3 linked regions of the Ovis aries genome follow. The protein of the gene in region 1 interacts with the protein of each later gene in a biochemical or structural test. Links are inferred from orthologs where the notes say so. Each region holds a gene or a part of one and is shown on either strand. Other genes may lie near its edges.

What was found.
Region 2: the proteins of NEDD4 (region 1) and RNF7 form a complex in vitro, tested with the Homo sapiens proteins (2 studies listed by BioGRID, with this or other methods). The link is inferred for Ovis aries from reciprocal best matches to the Homo sapiens genes NEDD4 and RNF7.
Region 3: of the proteins of NEDD4 (region 1) and WBP2, one has a biochemical effect on the other in vitro, tested with the Homo sapiens proteins (6 studies listed by BioGRID, with this or other methods). The link is inferred for Ovis aries from reciprocal best matches to the Homo sapiens genes NEDD4 and WBP2.

Annotation. Positions count from the first base shown.
Region 1 is NC_056060.1:52,667,297-52,673,282, forward strand, and holds part of NEDD4 (E3 ubiquitin-protein ligase NEDD4), read left to right. Parts: intron 1-945; coding exon 946-1,065; intron 1,066-2,283; coding exon 2,284-2,487; intron 2,488-3,933; coding exon 3,934-4,014; intron 4,015-4,240; coding exon 4,241-4,295; intron 4,296-4,395; coding exon 4,396-4,454; intron 4,455-5,496; coding exon 5,497-5,562; intron 5,563-5,986. UniProt on the Homo sapiens protein: E3 ubiquitin-protein ligase which accepts ubiquitin from an E2 ubiquitin-conjugating enzyme in the form of a thioester and then directly transfers the ubiquitin to targeted substrates. Specifically ubiquitinates 'Lys-63' in target proteins.
Region 2 is NC_056054.1:247,816,860-247,822,945, forward strand, and holds the start of RNF7 (RING-box protein 2), read right to left. Parts: upstream 3,424-6,086; 5' UTR 3,395-3,423; coding exon 3,220-3,394; intron 1-3,219. UniProt on the Homo sapiens protein: Catalytic component of multiple cullin-5-RING E3 ubiquitin-protein ligase complexes (ECS complexes), which mediate the ubiquitination and subsequent proteasomal degradation of target proteins.
Region 3 is NC_056064.1:55,099,723-55,105,808, reverse strand, and holds the start of WBP2 (WW domain-binding protein 2), read right to left. Parts: upstream 3,713-6,086; 5' UTR 2,566-3,712; coding exon 2,408-2,565; intron 1,537-2,407; exon of another isoform or gene 1,480-1,536; coding exon of another isoform or gene 1,421-1,479; intron 1-1,420. UniProt on the Homo sapiens protein: Acts as a transcriptional coactivator of estrogen and progesterone receptors (ESR1 and PGR) upon hormone activation. In presence of estrogen, binds to ESR1-responsive promoters. Synergizes with YAP1 to enhance PGR activity.

The sequences.
Region 1 (5,986 bases):
TGAATTCCATTATTTTATAGACTCAGAGCTCATTACAACTGTCAGCAATGTACATCTACCTCTGTGTATCTACAGAACAGTGTACCTAGTGAACAGACTAGTGGTCATAGTTTTTATATTAATATGTAAGACACATTAGGGAACCAGGCCAAACGTTGAAGAGTCTAATCTAACTCAAAAGACAAAAGGAAGGTCGGACCTGGACTGTTTTCAGTAAACCTGGAAAACTAGACCTCTTTTGTTCATTAGCAATAAACTACAGTAATCAGCACTTCCCCAGCCTTCACAGAAAGAAAGCAGGGGTAACTTTTGACTTGGCACATATGGGTGATAATTTCTATGGTTTGACTACCTGTGTTCAAATCTCAGCTCCATAATAGCAATGTTATCTGTTAGGAAATTACTTCCATTTTCTAAAACTACAGTTTTCTCGTAAGTAAAATGGGCCAGTAATCTTAATTATCTCATCAAGATTTGTGTGGCGGTGAAATGGCATGGTCTGTGTGAGAGCAGTAAGTGGTTGTTACCACTCGCGTGTTGTTATCACACTCATCATTATTGTCTGCTCTGTTGGTTTTTTTTTAAGTGAAATTCTGTGCACTTTAAAGTATGGTTTAAAACATGATTTGTTTTAAAGAGGGTTATCAGTGAAAAAGGAGATATGGTCCTTTAAAAATGATTCTTTCTGGGAGCTTTCCTGATGGTCCAGTGGCTAAGATTCCATGCTTGCAATGCAGGGGAACTGGGTTCAATCCTGATTAGGCAACTGGAGCCCACATGCTGCAGCTAAAAGATCCTGCATGCAGCAACCAAGATCCCGTGTCCTACAGCTAAGGCCCAACACAGCCAAATAAATAAATATTTTAAAAAATAGTAATGATAAAATACAATAAATAAGAAGGATTCTTTCTTATTAATATTTAATTCTGTTATTCTTCACTGTAGCTTTTGCCTACTTCATCTGGATTACCACCAGGTTGGGAAGAAAAACAAGATGAAAGAGGAAGATCATACTATGTGGATCACAACTGCAGAACTACTACCTGGATAAAGCCCACTGTACAGGTACCCTGCAGTCTGTTCATTATGGTGTTTTCTTAGGTAATTTAAACCATCATATTTCTATGGGCGCTGTTATAATATACCACTTAGTAGTAGATGCTGGATACTTCTAATTATTTTCTGACATTGGTGCTGTCTGTCATTTCCTGCAGATCTCTAATATGTGTGAGTCATTACTGGTTATTAGGTAAAATAAGTCCATTTGGGACTAGGAGGACAAAGTAAATGATCTGGTTTACTGGGTAATTTTGTAATTTGAATGGTTAAGATCATTATTTTGCTAAAAATAATCTTGGTGATTAGCATCTATCAAAGAACTTTGTCATAATGACACTGCGTCCTTGGCAACAGTTTGCCTTTTGTATTAATAATATTTCTTTGTAAGTAAGCATTTAGCAAAATGTCACAATTTCTCTTGAGAAATTTTTTAAAACTGAAAAGTACAGAGAATAATATAGTAAGTATCCATTTTCTTAAAACACTTAATTTACCACCATTAACAGCTCACCGTATTTGGTTCTAGATTTTTTGTTTTTTAAAATACAATACAGAGGAAAAGATTTTATCTTTTAATCAAGCACTTGACCCTGCTACCCAGAGGGAAATATCACTGTGAGCTTGTTGGGAATTCTTCCTGCCTATTTTATGTACTTAGTAGAGAGCTAAACAATGCAAAATATTATTTATGTCCATGTGTCAAATTTAACAAAGATATTATGTAATTCTAAATATTTTTTGCTCACTATTGTTTTAAAATCATATCATGTTGGTTTATATATAGATCTAGTGGGTTTTTTTTTTTTTAGCTGCCTTTTATTTTATCACAAGAATATATTACATTTCAGTTATCCATTTCTGTAGTGGCTGTTTGCCATTTATCTTGTCTACCACCATTTGAACCCATTTTTCGTGTGGGAAATTCCCACTCTATGTGAGTCTTTGGGGTGAGCAAAAAACAACCTTCTGTAGTTGTCAGTGCGGCTTCCCTGCAACTAGGGTTAACAGACTGTTAACCGCATCTTACTGCTCAAGAATTAGCTGAGAAATTTTAAATTGTTTTAAAAACAAACTTTGACAAAGCACTTTATTGGAGAAATGAGCCTCCAGTCTTTAGGCCTGTTTATAAGTGTGTGTGCTGTTTGCAGATTCAGTTACCTTTTTAACCACAGCTATTTGTATGTTCTCTGTAAACATTACTACATAATTGAATTAATGTGCTAGGCCACAGTGGAGACCAGTCAGCTGCCGTCAAGCCAGGGTTCTTCTGCAGGCCCTCAGCCACAGGCCCCCGCGAGTGACGCAGCACAGCAGGTGACCCAGCCATCTGAAATGGAGCAAGGATTCCTCCCCAAAGGCTGGGAGGTCCGGCACGCACCAAACGGGAGGCCTTTCTTCATTGACCACAACACCAAAACCACCACCTGGGTAACTTCAGTGGTTTCCAGTTTAAATTTGTAATAACAATAACAATCACTTACGTGTAGTTCTTGATAATCTTTGTAAGTATACATTAATACAGGCTTCCCTGGTTGTTTGGTTGGTAAAGAACCTGCTTGGAGTGCGGTAGAGACCCGGTTTTGATCCCTGGGTCCAGAAGATCTCCTGGAGAAGGGAATGGCTGGCTACCCAATCCATTCCTAGTCCTTATTTAAAAATATGTTGAATTCTTAAGAGTATTATTTATATTCAGTATATTTATACCTATTTTTAATATCGGGGGGATTGTTAAGGCTATACATTTACTTCCTGTTTGCAGTGGGCTTTTGTTTTGTTTTTTGGCCATGCCACATGGCTTGTGGGATCTTAGCTCCCCAAGCAGAGATTGAACCCATTCCACTCTTCAGTGAAGGTATGGAGTCCTAACTACCAAGGAAGTCTTGTGTTTCTTGTGTTTGCAGTTTTTAGCTCCCTAGCCATAAATGCCCAGGAAGATATTTAGTCATAATCATTTCCCTTTATATGAGGCCTCTAGTTCCAAAGTACTTTTGAATCCATACCTCATAATATTCAGAAAGCCTTATGAGCTAGGTAGAATAAGTATTTTTATTTTAAGATAAGGCTTAAAGTTGTTGAGTAGTTGGTTCACCACTAATAGAAAAACTACTGAAAATTATCAGTAAATGCAGAGATTTTGATTAATAAATTATTTAAAAGTTACCAATATGCCTAAATTAAAATTATATAATACATTACTTAATAAAACAATATTGAAATGATAATATTTAAATAAATCCAAATAAATTAAATTTTGTTCTTTCTTTCAATAATTTGAGTTGGCTTTAATAACCTTTTTGAGCTTACCTTCTTATCTCTTAAAATTAATAAATTAATATATAATAAATTAACAGCTTAGCATCTGTCTGGGTACCAAAAAGCATGTTCAAGGCCTCAGAAATAACATGTGCTCCAGCTTTATGTCCACTCTTACACCAGTTTTTATTTAGAGAAGAGCCCTGTGTAGTGACATAATCCTTAAAGAGTGGGCAAAATACTCTAAATGGTTTTTGTGAAAGAGCAAGTAAGTTAATACGGATCCTTCTCAAGATCTAATTGAATTTTTTTTAATTAAAAAAGAAAAAAAATGTTTTTGGCCTGCCGCAAGGTATGTAGAATTTTAGTTTCCCAGTCAGGAATCGAACCCATGCCCCCTGCGGTGGAAGTGTGGAGTCTTAACCACTGGATTGCCAGGGTCCCTTAGAACTGAATATTGTAGCCTATGAAGGAGAGATTTTAGATGAGAACCTATTATTTCATTGAGTAAGCAAATGAAAGTGAATTCATTGATATTAGAAAACATAGTAACAGATTGACTTTCATGATTTTAAAGTTTGTGTGTATATATTGTTTTCTTTATTTACTCTACCAAAAAAGGAAGATCCAAGACTGAAAATTCCAGCTCATCTGAGAGGAAAGACATCACTTGATTCTTCCAGTGACCTGGGGCCTTTACCTGTAAGTTTATAGAACTGTTACCCATCTAACTTGACTGTCTCAAACATTTGTATTTCGGAATGAAATAGTTCTTTCATAACTATAATTATTATTGTTGTTGAAGTGTTGATGTCTTCTACCAAGAATGGAATATACAAATTAAATCGACCATATAACCAAAACCATTTTTCTGCCCATACACTGAAAACCTGTTCCTAATATAAATGAAATATGTTCTTCATTATAGCCAGGATGGGAAGAAAGAACTCACACTGATGGAAGAATCTTTTACATAAATCACAGTATGTACAGTGTGATTTTTTTTCCCATTACATTATCTTTTGTAATATCGAATTTTTTGCATGAGAATAAAGAACCTCTTTTTTTCCTCTCTTTCTTCAGATAGTAAAAAAACACAATGGGAAGACCCTCGTTTGCAGCATGTAGCAATAACTGGACCAGTAAGTCCCTTTGTATCAGCATCCTCTGATGGGGTTGTCCTCTTACTTGTGTCTTCAAGGACAGATGATGAAGGGTATAGCTCTAAATAAAGGTGTTGAGAGGAAAGCACATTTGCAAATCTCTCCTCTCCCCACCACCCATACACTCGGTCTCAGTTATTTGAAAAGGGCATTTAAAGTAGTTACCTTTACTCTACACAACCACCTTGGGATGCCAGTGAGCAAGAAAGTTAACTCAGTGAAGCTAACTCAGTGAGGCTGCTGTGCTCAGACTAGTACTTGAAATAATCTGAAAAAAGAATGCTGGAATCCTCAGCAAATCAGATAGGAACCAAGAGTGTATCTGATGAGAAAGCCGACAGTGCCTTGTCAAATCAGGGTCATGTCTTGAACTTTTTGGTTGAAATCATTGTAAATACTGGTATATAAGACATTCATATTTAAAGTACAAGTATTACTATGTATGAATGTTTATACTACTCTTGAATCAGATTAATGATAGGAAAATAATTTTCCTCTTTTATATAGCTTCTTTTTCAGGTTATAATTGTTTTCTAATTCACAAAAATAAGTAAAATTGAAGATACAATTCTTTTAGTTTACTCTTGTGACTCCATGTTTAGTCTTTTAAAGTAATGGATAAAAAAGGCAACTCCTCAGAGTTCAAGGAAAAAGTACATTTTTCAAATTGTTCCTTTAATGGAGAAATCACTTTGAAAGTCTTTTTAGAAATGGAAATTTTCATTTCTAATATTTCTTTACTTGGAAGACATTTCTGTTTCTGGCCTATTGCATTTCAAGAATACTGCATGATGAAAATTACAGCCATAAGAATTGCTGGATACAATTTTATCTTAAACAGAGAAATTAAAATTTTTTAAGTTTTATATTTCTTTTTCTTTGAATTAAACTTTTCTTTCCAAATATTCTCTTTTAATGCCTTTAACTTATGTTCGTAAAATACCCAGAGGGGAGTTTTTTAAATTGTTCCAGAATAAAACAACTTAAACCTTCTTTATTTTTCCAAAATTTTTAACTCAAGGCAGTGCCCTACTCCAGGGATTACAAAAGAAAGTATGAGTTCTTCCGAAGAAAGTTGAAGAAGCAGGTTAGTGATACTTATAATGAGTTCTTAGGAATGTTTGTCATATGGGCTGAAAGCATGGGAAGTACATTTGAAAAAGTAATAGACAATTTATTATATATGAACAATTTTGCATAGCTTCTTTTAGGGAAAGGATGCTTATTTTTTGAGTAGCTGTAATATATGATTAGAGTCTAGTTATTTTATGTCTGTATTTTTCAATATATCTTGCAATAGGGAAAATAGTTTCAAAAATTTGCTTTTGAAGAGCTCCAACTTGATTTCCTCCTGGGTTTGTGGGGTTTGGGTTTTGTAGAAACTGAGCAAGAGTAACTCAGGAGATTATCCTGTGGCCTAGATTTGCTTGTATAGGAGGACTCTCTGGATTCTGCTTCTGCTTGGACTCTTGTTTTCCAGTGTTATTCATTCTTTACAACTTCATTATAAT
Region 2 (6,086 bases), on another chromosome or scaffold:
AGTTACTGACCCTCTATTTTCACAAGTGCTGATTAAAACATGTCCTGACAGTGGATGTAACTACTAGAGAAAAATATGCTATATTTCACTATATTACTCCCTGGGCACATGCACACAGATCAATTTTATGAACAGTTTATTTTCAAGACATCCTTTAAAATAAGCCACAAATATATATTGGTATTTGCTTACATATATTTAGAAACTCTAGAAGGATAGTCAAGAAACTAATAATAAAGTTCACCTGGGAGGAGATGGAATGGGAAGGGGTTTTCACTGCACACTTTCTCAAGTTTTTAAGTTGTGACTGTATAACCTACATAAAAATTAAATTTAAAAAACCCTAAATATTAGGTTCTCTCTCTTATTTTTTCTTTTTAAGGAAATGCTCCCTTTACAAATAATCTGAGCCCAAAGCATTTACCCAACAACGGTAAAGTATTTTAATAAATTACCTGGGAGTAAACATGAGGAATGGGAACCAAAAGGATATACTAGAACTTTTCAAAATTCAGTCTGTACTACCATTTGCTTGAAGAACGTAATATAGAATATTTTAGGAACCAAAGAAATGGACTCATTCACTAGCTGAAAGCAGTCAAAGTTGGGTGAAAGGAAGTTCAAACTAACAGAAAAAAAAAAAAGATTTTAATATAAATTAGAGAAAAATTCTATAAAAATAGAAACAGGATAGAGTTGAAGCCTACTTCTTTTCTTACACTGGATTATGCTCAGGCATTTGTTTGCTCCTCTCTGCATGCTCTTACCCTTAAAAAAAACACACTACCCTGGCCTCTTCAGTGTGGATTAAAAACCACCACTGCCTCCTGAGGCTTTCTTCAATTTCACAGTTACTGAGTACCTACCCTGTGCAAAGAGTAATGCCTGGGGGCCACCAAAATGACCAAGTCTGGGTCCCTGGTCTCACCAGTAAATGGGAAAGTGGATAGGTAAACAGTTAAATATCGCAAGGATCATGATATAAGGGGGAAGACATGCCTCTGGTTCTGTGCAGTCACAGAAAGTTCAGGATCCCAACTGTCTCTTTTACAAGTTAGGAAAACAAGGCTCCAGAAGGTTATGTCAAACGTCCAAGTTAACAGATAGCTGTGGAAGGTTACTCTGGCTCTTTATCCCTTGACAATACAAGCAAACCTCGTCCCCTCTTCCTCACCGGTGCTTGCTAGCAGCTCCTTTCCCAATAAAGTCGGCAGAGTGGAAACCAAGGAAGAGTGTCTTAACCACATTAGAATGGGCTGACTGGCAATTCTTAGATCAAGAAGTTATAACAAATCATTTAGGTGTATGAGATGAATTCAAATATCAAGGACACAGGATTAAGTGGGCTTTTTATAGAATCTAGAAGTCTCTGAATCATGCCTACGGCTTTTATTTAGATTCACTATCAACAACTGATCTGAACAGATAAAAATTCCTAAAGTTTCATATAAAAGAAAACATTTTCCTTTGATGATGTTCTTAATATCTAAAACAGCGCATTTCTAAGGAGTACAGTAACACCTTTTAGAATGATGCCAGAAAACACACTTCCTTCTGCTGTCACCTGACCACCAAATAGATTTTAACACCTCATAAACACAATACAGAGGTCTAGCCCAGAATACTTTTCTGAACCCAAAGTACAGCTGTTGTAAATATGAAACATTAATCCACAGTAGCAAATACTTGTTATAATTAGAAAGTTAATGTGAGAAGTGAGTCATTTATAGCCCATACTTTGACTTACCTTAAATATCCCAGTAAAGTTTATTTCTTGCAAACTTTCAACCATTATTTTATATTTTGCATTTCTACCTACTAATTTAAAATTTTTCTTTGGGGAGAAAAATAAGATGCTCTTTTAGGAAAATTATTTTAAACTAAAAAAGAAAAAAAATCCCACAAACTGGAAGTTATGATTCTAGCTTTCAAGAAAGGGTTAGGGCAAGGGGGCTGTATTGCAGGCCCATAAACTAAGTACCTAAAAACCCGATACACAAAATAAGTCGATCACATCTGAAATCTAGTTCTTTTAAAAAGTAAAAAAATATTTGAATCCCATAGTTGCAAATTCTCTTTAAAACAAATTCCTACGAATAAAAAACATAAGTGCATACTACAGAGAGAGTAAATTGAGAAATCTCTTGTTTCTGGTAGGTCTAAATTTTCAATGCTCAAGAAGGGAAAGCATCTTTTAAGTTACTTTCTCCAACTGTCTCATTTTTCAGTGCAAGACACAAAGTTTTCAAACTACAGAAGCCTCAGTTTTCTCCAATTACCTTCAAGAAATGACATTTAAGACACTCTTAAATGCTGTAGTTTTAAATGCCCTATTTAAAAATATAACGTGCATTTAAACAGCAACTCTTTTTTAAGGTCGTCTAAGATCTTAAAACAGAGACCATATAAAACACAACGAGATGAAGCTGCTCTGAAAGGCTTCACGTGGTCCAATATTTTCATTAAAAATATCATAGAAAGAAGTAACAAGTTTGCAAAAGAGGGCTTTCCAGAAAGGCCAGACTTGAGGGCACTACCCTTCTCCAAGAAATTGCATGCTAGGATGGGGAGTGGCCAGTAAAGAGATGAAGCTTCATGTCTCTGAATAAAAGGGTTTACATTCTTCTAGTTCAAGCCAACCGAGTGCGATCTGACCAATCTTGAATCATCCAGGTTTAAAAGCCAGCAGAACAGTAGCCAATCTAGAAAGGGGACGGCTAGGAACACTCTTCTTCCCTGCGCCTCTCCAGAGCACGACTAGCGGCCGTTTGGGGGGAAAATGACTCCAGAGCATCACTTTGGTGTGTGACCAGAACCATCCGACTGACCCGCTGACTCAGGGCCTTGACCTTGACCTCTGTGTGGTTTGCTTTCGGAAAAGGGTGCGGTCGCTGGCCACACAAACCGAAGTGGTTCCTCCCAGCTCCCGTCAAATCACCTACTTTTATTGTCGTGATCACACCGATCACTACTGGAAATGACCTTGTTTAACTGTCCTGCCTGCTACCCCCCTATTCCCCCAGAATACCCGTCCCCGGCACAAGTCGCCTGCTGAACGACCAGCTCGGGCGTGGCCCGCGGTCTCCTGGGGCCGGGGCAGGGCGATCCCGCCCCTACTCCTCCCGGAACGGTCTCTCCAAGGCTTGGTCCTTCCCCCCACGCCCGAAGCCGGGCCTGCGGAGGCCGCAGCACAGCCGGGGCCTCGCCTGCTGCGCTTACCCATCACCTGGACCCTGCAGATGGCGCACGTATCGCACTCCACGTCCCAGCTCCACATGGCCACCGCGTTCCACTTCTTGAGAGAGAACATTTTGTCACCGCCCGACTTGGATCCTGCGCTCCCCGAGTGAGAGGACAGGGCACAGGGTTCCTCACCGTCTTCCACGTCGGCCATAGCGGCGGCGCGGAGCCGGCGACGGAGACGTTGGGTCGTGGGAGGCGGGCGGCTATGGCGGCTCAGTGGGGCCGTCCGACGGGCCACAGCGCCGCCCGCAGGCCACGGGCCGCCGCGGGGGTCTAGGACCGTGGGGCGCCCGTGATTGGCTGGCGCGGCCCAGTGACGTCACCGTACGCCGGCACCAGCGGCTTCCCGGTGTCCTAGTTCCCGGTACTCGCGTCCCCAACGCCCGGCCAGCTCAGCGGGGTGAGGGACCCCGGACCGACCCTGCGCGGGGGAGACACGTGTCCTGCTTTATGTCTTCATGACACCGCTTTTAGACGTTGTCTTGTTGATATATTCGTCCTTCTCAAATGTAAACGCCCTGGGGGGAGCGGGGACTATTTCTTTTTTCTTTTTGGGTGGGGGGACTATTTCTTGATCATCTCCTTCGTTAAGAAATGCTGTCTCGGGAGGGACAGTTATATGTTGAGTGAATGAATGACGAGCTAGGAATCTGGTTCAACAGTTCTCAAATATTTTGGTCTTGGGACCCCTTTACACTTAAAAATTACTTAAGGACATTTAAGAACTTTTGTTTGTATAGGATGGATGTGTACATATACACGCTTATACATATGTATTTCCTTTTTAAGAAAACGGGGGAAATGTGAATATATTAATTCACTTCAAAACAGTAAGAAATCCATTACAAGTTATCCTTAGAATACCAATATTGTACACTCACAAGAGAGAATGAAGAGAAATAGCTATGAGTGCTGTGCTGTGCTTCGTCGCTCAGTCGTGTCCGACTGTGCAGATCCCATGGACTGTATGTAGCCCGCCAGGCTTCTCTGTCCATAGGATTTTCCAGGCAAGAATACTGGAGTGGGTAGCCATTCCCTTCCCCAGGGGATCTTCCCAACCCAGGAATTCAACCGGGGTCTCCTGCATTACAGGCGGATTGTTTACCAGCTGAGCTACCTGGGAAGCTCAGAGCTATGAATACTGTTATGTAAATATGTAAATAGTTTTGACCTTGTTGGTCCCCTGAAAGACTTCCAGGAACCCTGGAGACCACACTCTAAGAAACTTAAATCTAGTTTAACTTTTTATGTGTAGGAATACTGAAGTCCCCAAAAGTAATTTATAGTAATTCTGCTATATTTATAAAAGTAATTTATAGTAATTCAGAAAAGTAATTCTGCTATTCTGAGAAGGTGACAGTGGAAACTAAGGTTCTTCTGTTACTAGCCCAGGGTCATGTTATGTTTTCCCAAGCAAAGCAGATAACATCTTCTTTTAAAAGATACCGAAGCTGAGGCATGGAGACCGGAAGATGCTTGGTCACACTACCACCTAGTGGTGGCCACCTGCTGTGTCAGGATTAGGACTCAGAGCTTCGCACCTCTTTTTATTTTAATGATGAGGGTCTCATCATTCCCTCATCTCCTGGTGTCAGGCCTGGTGCCCCTGGGTCTAGGCTAACCAAACTTCAGAACTCTGGCAGAGGAGTCAAGGAGGCATTAAATGTGTAACGATACAAATATGGACACAGGGTCACATTTGGCCACATGTGCTGTTTGTTGGGTGGTGCATTAAGTGCTGTCAGAGACAGAAACCTTCCTCAAGACAGATGGAGTGAGGGAGTGAGGGAAAGCCTCATAGAAGAGGTTAAGTTTGAACTCGGCGGGAGATGGGAGGCCTTGGAGGCCAGGAAGTAAATGGAGAAAGCAAATGGACAGAGCAGTAGTGGTGGTAGCAGATATAAATCTCACCACAGTAACTTCATGAGCCAGACAAAAATGTCTGTAAACAAACCCAGATGAACCATCCAGAACATGTTTCATTCACATTAAGCTATCACATATCTGACTATCAGTTCAGTTCAGTCGCTCAGTCGTGTCCGGCTCTTTGAGACCCCATGAATCACAGCACGCCAGGCCTCCCTGTCCATCACCAACTCCTGGAGTTCACTCAGATTCACATCCATTGAGTCAGTGATTCCATCCAGCCATCTCATCCTCTGTCGTCCCCTTCTCCTCCTGCCCCCAATCCCTCCCAGCATCAAAGTCTTTTCCAATGAGTCAACTCTTTGCATGAGGTGGCCAAAGTACTGGAGTTTCAGCTTTAGCATCAGTCCTTCCAAAGAACACCCAGGGCTGATCTCCTTTAGGATGGACTGGTTGGATCTCCTTGCAGTCCAAGGGACTCTCAAGAGTCTTCTCCAACACCACAGTTCAAAAGCATCAATTCTTCAGCGCTCAGCCTTCTTCACAGTCCAACTCTTGCCGGGGTCCAGCCCCGGTGGATCCAGGGTAATTCGAAGGTGGGGATGGAATCGGCGTCCTGGAAAAAACTTAATTACAGATATAGAGGGAGATTAGAAACAGTGTAGTAGGAGAATTAGTGGAGAAAAGAGGCTGAATAACTGGTTTACATGAACTACCAATCACCACCTACGTAGGCCACAGGCGTCTTTCCATTCTCCCAGAGGAGAGGAGGCACTCAGGCCTCCCCGGTCCGATCTCAGAAGCCCAGGCAGAATTAGCAGACTTGGTGAGTACCCACATTTCAGATGGGAATTCAGCCAGGAAAACGGGGAGCAAGAAAGAAACGACACGGGGGAATCAGTCTTTCCAGAAACTGATCCGATTTCTTGATTTTTCAGGTTTGTTTAAATACCTTTTTGTTATACATAGGGATGAAT
Region 3 (6,086 bases), on another chromosome or scaffold:
TTACACAGCAGCACTGAGTCCTAAACCAGGTAGGAGGCCCAGGAGGACAGGTAACATTCTTTTTTGTTTTTAAGATAACATTCTTGTCCCAGAAAAGCCCCACTGAGAGAGAAGGAACAGTCCCAGGAGATGGTACCAAATGGCATCAGCAGGGTTTGTCCACCCTGGGACTGGCTCGCACACAGAGAGGCTACACACCCAGGGCAATGTGAGGTTTCTCTGATTACAAGACAACGCAGCCCAAGTTCACGTGGTTCTATTTGTCTTTTTTTTTGCCCTCCCAGATATCACAACTTCCTTCACTGGGGAGGGGTAAGTGGAAAGAGGACCAGTACCAGAAAAGACAGGGAAAGCTCAGAGAAAAGAGGTCATGATCAGGAACAGGCTGGGCCTGGCAGACCCTGTGCCGGTACCATGGAGAGAGTCAGTACTGTGGGCTCCCTGAGTGCTTTCCTGACTCAACAAGCATGCCGGGTTACAGCCCTGGGCTGAGTGCTGGCCTTAACCAGTGTCTAGACTCTGATCCCACCAAGTCTCTTCTGGGGACTCAGATTCCTTCTTTGCTCCTTCAAGAGGTGCTTTTGGGTCACTCAACCAGGGCTGGCTGGTCTGATTCTCAACGCCCAAGGAGCAAGAGGAGAGAAGCCGTTCAAGGAGCGGAAGGTAGGAGAGACAGAATGGAGTGGGGGGTGGGCAGGACAGGTGGGAGACCACTCTGGGGAGTGACCCGAGCCAATAGGAATTCAAGGGAAAGAGGCAAAAACTGACCTTTATAGGAAATATGTCAGGCATCTGACGATCGTTAACTATGTAATTTCACCTCTGGGCCTCAGTTTCTCACCTGGAAACTGAGCAGTTCTGGAATATACTGGAAGGCTACATACTGGTAGTTAAGGCTACTGACTTTGGAATCAAGACTCCTTCGCTGTTACTTACAGCTTTGTGAGCTCAAGCAAGTTTCTTAACTTCCCTGTGCCTCAGTTTCCTTACATGTCAAGTGTGTAGTGTAATAGCACCTGCCGCACAGGATTCACACACTGAAAAAAGGCAGAACAGATGTCGCCCCTCCCCGACACACAGTAAACGCCTAAATAAATGGCAATTACTTTTGTCTAAAGCTTTCCGCGTTTCCTAACGTCTCCTACCCTGGGCAAGGGGTTCGAGGACGACCCGCAAGCTCCAGTTGTCTCTGCAAGGCCCCCGCCCCATCCGGCCGCCCCGGCCCCATCCCACAGCTGATCAAAGCATCCCGGCCCCTCCCTCAACACCCACTCAGCTTCCCGCAGCCCCGCCCCAAGCCGTTCGTTACCCCCCGACCCATCAGTTTCCCCTCTCCACGGGTTCACGCCCCGCCGCCCACCGCCCACACGCTCGATGCCCGCCCTTCCGGGCCTCTAGGGTTATTCCGCACTGTCTTCACCTCTCGGTGTTGTTGACGATCACTCCGCCGCCCTCAGAGTGGTTCTTGTTGAGCGCCATAGTCCCTCGGAACAGGGTCCCGAGCCTGGCGACGCAGTGCGCTTGCGCCCTTCTTCTGCCCGCCCCTGGTGGCGTCGTTCAGATAAGCGCCAGCCAGTCACAGCTCCCGTGCGGAGGCAGGCTCTACCGCCTGATCCCGGGCGTCACGTGCTAATAGTTTACGGCCTCGCCCCCTCCCCCCTCCCCGGGTAGCGCCTGCATCACAAACAAGCTCAAGACTACAACTCCCAGAAGGCAACGCTCCCTCAACCCCGACCTCTCCCTACACGCTAGCGGAAGGATGCATTCTGGAACTTGTAGTCTCCGAGACCGCAGGTCCCGATTGACTCCACGAGTCGCATAACTAATTCCCACCTACCTCCACTGCTTCCTCCCAGGGAGCCGAATGAATAGTTCGGTTAGCCACAGAGGAACTAATCGTAAAGGCGCTGGAGGCAAAAGCTCATACCCACAGGATGGAGGTTGTAACCTACCCCAGCTGTAGGAGCGCTGATCACTAACTGGGGCAGCTTCATTCCATCTACAAACGTTTGGGGAGAACTTACATGACTGCTCCTCCTCCCCACCCCCAACACACACACACACACACTTGAGTAATCTCTGAGCCGGACAGATAAGTGCAAGACCAGTTTCTGTTTGGCAGAGAAGAGTCAGGAAAAACTGCGATCGCTCCCATGAAATCAAACCCAGACCCTCCGAAGTGGGCGGTGGGAATCTCGGTGCGGGGAGGAGGACCCGAGCCCAGCGCCTTCATCTCATCGCCTCGTCCACCGCAGCTGGCCTCGCGGTGGCGCTGCTCCCTCTAGAACATTATGGCTTTGCCGCCCGGCCCTCCCAGCATTTTCCAGGCTCGAAGATTTAAACCAGACTGGGAGGAACTGAATGCCACTGGGCACAGCGAGAGACCGAGTGCTTAGGGCTGACTCACTGTGACTCTGCCACTGTGCGGCCCCCGCTCGCCGCTGTAGTTTTGTAAACTTCCGGCACCTCCGAGGCGGGTCTTTCCGGGTAATTGTGGGAGTGGGAGTTGGGGCGGGGCAAGGGGCGTGGTGGTGTCTCACTACCCCCGGGGCGGTGCTGGTGCATCTTTGATTTTAAGGGATCAGAGTTTGATTTGAAGCACACTGCTAATTTCCTGACACGTGGTGGCCAACTTTGTGATTCACCTGCTTGACTTTCGTTTTGAGTGAGATTTCTTAGGTTAAGGGTAAAAAACTGGAAAATATTATGAAGCAGGTAAGTTTCTATAAGGTCTTGCGCAAAACCAGGATGGACGTTGCAGGACAAGTGCGATGAAGTAGTACATCAGGGGACATGATGAAATCTGCCCTTGAAGGTTAAGTTAAGTTCCATACATATGGGATTTTGCCGGCGGTCCAGTGGTTAAGACTCCCTGCTTCCACTGCAGGGGGCAAAGTTTCCATCCTTGGTCAGGGAGTTAGTGAAAGTCTCCTAGTCGTGTCTGACTCTGCAACTCCATGGACTGTATAACCCGCCAGGCTCCTGTATCTGTGGAATTTTCCAGGCAAGAATACTGGGATCTTCTGGACCTAGGGATCAAACCCAGGTCCTCCTGCATTGCAGGCAGTTCTTTACTGTTTGAGCCACCAGGTGGTAAAGGCAGGGCACAGCCTATATCCCTGGCACAGCCAAAATAAAAATAAAAATCCACGCATGCAATCTATGCAGTTGTTGAAAAGAATGAGGTCAAATTCTGTGTGCTGAAATGAAAAGATTGCTACGGTTTGTCTGAACAAATGATGTATAAATATACTTACATTTGTCTAAAAATAAGGTATTAAGTCTCTTGAAGGATGGACTTCTGTGGTGGCTCAGATGGTGAAGCATCTGCCTACAATGCAGGAGACATGAGTTCGATCCCTGGGTCAGGAAGATCCTCTGGAGAAGGAAATGGCAACCCACTCCAGTACTCTTGCCTGGAAAATCCCATGGATGGAGGAGTGTGGTAGGCTACAGTCCATGGGGTCGCAAAGATTCGGACACGACTGAGCGACTTCACTTTCATGCTCTTTTCTACTGTTTGTTTACTGTGTGCATTTTATTTATTTTTTTGGCTATGCAGCATGCAGGATCTCAGTGCCCCCACCAGGGATCTAACCCGTGTCCCCTGCAGTAGAAGCGCAGTGTCTTAACCAGTGAACCACGAGGGAGGTCCCTGCTGTGTGCATTTTAAATGTTAATAATACATTTCAAAAAGAAAGGGAAAAAAAAGAGAAAACTCACCCAATAATGGGTGTGCAAGAACAGCTGCTGTAAGTACCATAAGAGGGAAGGTGGGCCAACAGTGCACAACCCCGATTGGTGGCAGAGAGAGTCTCGTTTTGTGGAGCCTGAAGCCTTTCCCGTGTTGGAGGCCCTGTGTAAGAACTAAAACACAGGATTATAAACACACCATGCTGTGGCCACACTGAGGCCTCATGACAGGAGGGGAAATGTGATGAAGAGGAAGTCTGAGTGGAACAAGATAGCAGGCTTAACCCATTCTGGCTTAAGTGTCCAGCTTTTGCAAGTTTCATAAAACACGTGACCATGTGAACGCATTGTTGGGGCTGCTCCCAGGCGGTGGACAGGGCAGGTCCTTTCCAGGACCACACTAAGGAACTCAAGGGCAGTTCGTTGTTGAACATGTCAGGGGTGGAGGTGGAGATAAATTAGAAGTTTGGGATTAACATATACTACATATACTACTGTATGGCTTCCCAGATGGCTCAGTGGTAAAGAATCCGCCTGCCAAGCAGGAGACACAAGTTCGAGCCCTCGGTCAGGAAGATCCCCTGGAGTAGGAAATGGCAGCACACTCTAGTATTCTTGCCTGGGAAATCTGATGAACAGAGTCGCCTCGGGGGCGACAGTCCATGGGGTCGCAAAGAGTCAGACACCACTTGGCGACTAAACAGCAAACAGCAGCAAACAGAAAGGCCCTACTGTATCACAGGGAGCTATACTCAGTATGTTGCAATAACCTGCAATGGAAAAGAATCTGAAAAAGAATATATGGGGGTGTGTGTATAACTGAATCAGTTTGCTGTGCACTTGAAACTAACACATTATAAATTAACTATACCTCAAGAATAAAGTAAATAAAAACTGCTTAAGCATTTTGTCATGAATGCTATTTTTCCCCAGAAGGAGACTGTGAAGTGTATCACCTAAAAAGGAAAAAAGAAAGAGTCACAGATCAGGATTGAGACAATTTTAATTGTATATTGTGATGTCCTCTGAGGTTTTCTGTAATACGTTGTCTTTTTAAAATCTGCTAATCCTTGTGCCCTAAATTGATTTCGTAATCCTCACTTTGAAAACTCCTATTCCAAAAGGAAGGATGAGGGTAGTGTGGGTGGGGGAAGTGGAGGAGAGGACAGGAGTGTGCTGGAGTTGATGTGAGTAATACCCCACCAGGTTCCCCACCCCACCCCGCCAGAGATGGGACCTGCATCCGCCCAGCTCCTGGAGCTGAAACTGTCCCATATTTGCAGTTCCCTGATTAGTTTACTAAAGGGTGTGTCAGTGAGATTTAGGTCATTCTCATCCTCTTGGTGAGGAGGAGAGTTTTGTTTCTCTTAGTATTTTTATTTATTTATTTATGGTTGCCCTGGGTCTTCGTTTCTGCACTCGGGCTTTCTCTAGTTGCCGTGAGTGACGGAGGTGGAGGGGAGGGGGGAGCTACTCTGTTGTGCACAGGCTTGCTGCGGTGGGCTTGTTTCGGAGCACAGGTTCTAGGTGCACAGGCTAGCTGTGGCACATTAGTCGTGGCTCTCGGACTATGGAGTGTAGACTCAGTAGTTGTGGGCTTTAGTGTGGACTCTTCCTGGACTAGGGATTGAACCTGTGTCCCCTGCATCGGCAGATGGATGCTTATTCCCTGAACCACCGAGCACGGCTGAGGGTTTTTCTTTAGATGTCACATCTTTGTTTCACTTTTGAAGGGCTAGGAGACTCAAAAGACTGAGGGACTTTTTCCCCTTTCTCAACCAAGAGGGCAGGCAAGCCTTCCTGTTCCTTAATAGTGGTTCCCAGCTCTGGCTGATCACAGAAGTTGTCAGATACCCTGAAGGTACAAAGCCCCAGGCTTTTGCCTGGAGCCTACTATCTGTGACTGGGGCTGCAGGGGCTAGAGATCGGAGATGACAGAATGACTGGACCTAGAGAGGGAAGGGGTGTTTTCCAAAGCCCTGAACTGGAACAGAGTTTGGGGAATTTTCCAGTGGTACCCCTCCAACCTGTCCCCTTATCTGTCCTGCTCCCACATAGCAATCCCAAGAGGTAGGTTGTGGTCAATGGGGATCCTGAAGTGTGCTTTGGGGGGTTGTGTGAAATTGTCCAACTATCTGAACAGAGAATTCAGTATAAAGAATTAACATAGGTATAAAGCTAGGCATGTTGCTGTAAAGGTAGATCGCTAGGTAACAGAAAAGGTGAAAATAAATAATTCTAAGGTGTCCCAGAGGGACCTGAACCTAGGACTGGAGGAGCCAAAGGGCAAAGTTGGAGTAATTATAATAAACATAGGAGCTTGAAGGAAGTGCCCCTGGGGACTAAAACCTAATTCTTTGAGTGGGGTACATGCTCGCTGGTGGTGGTGTCTC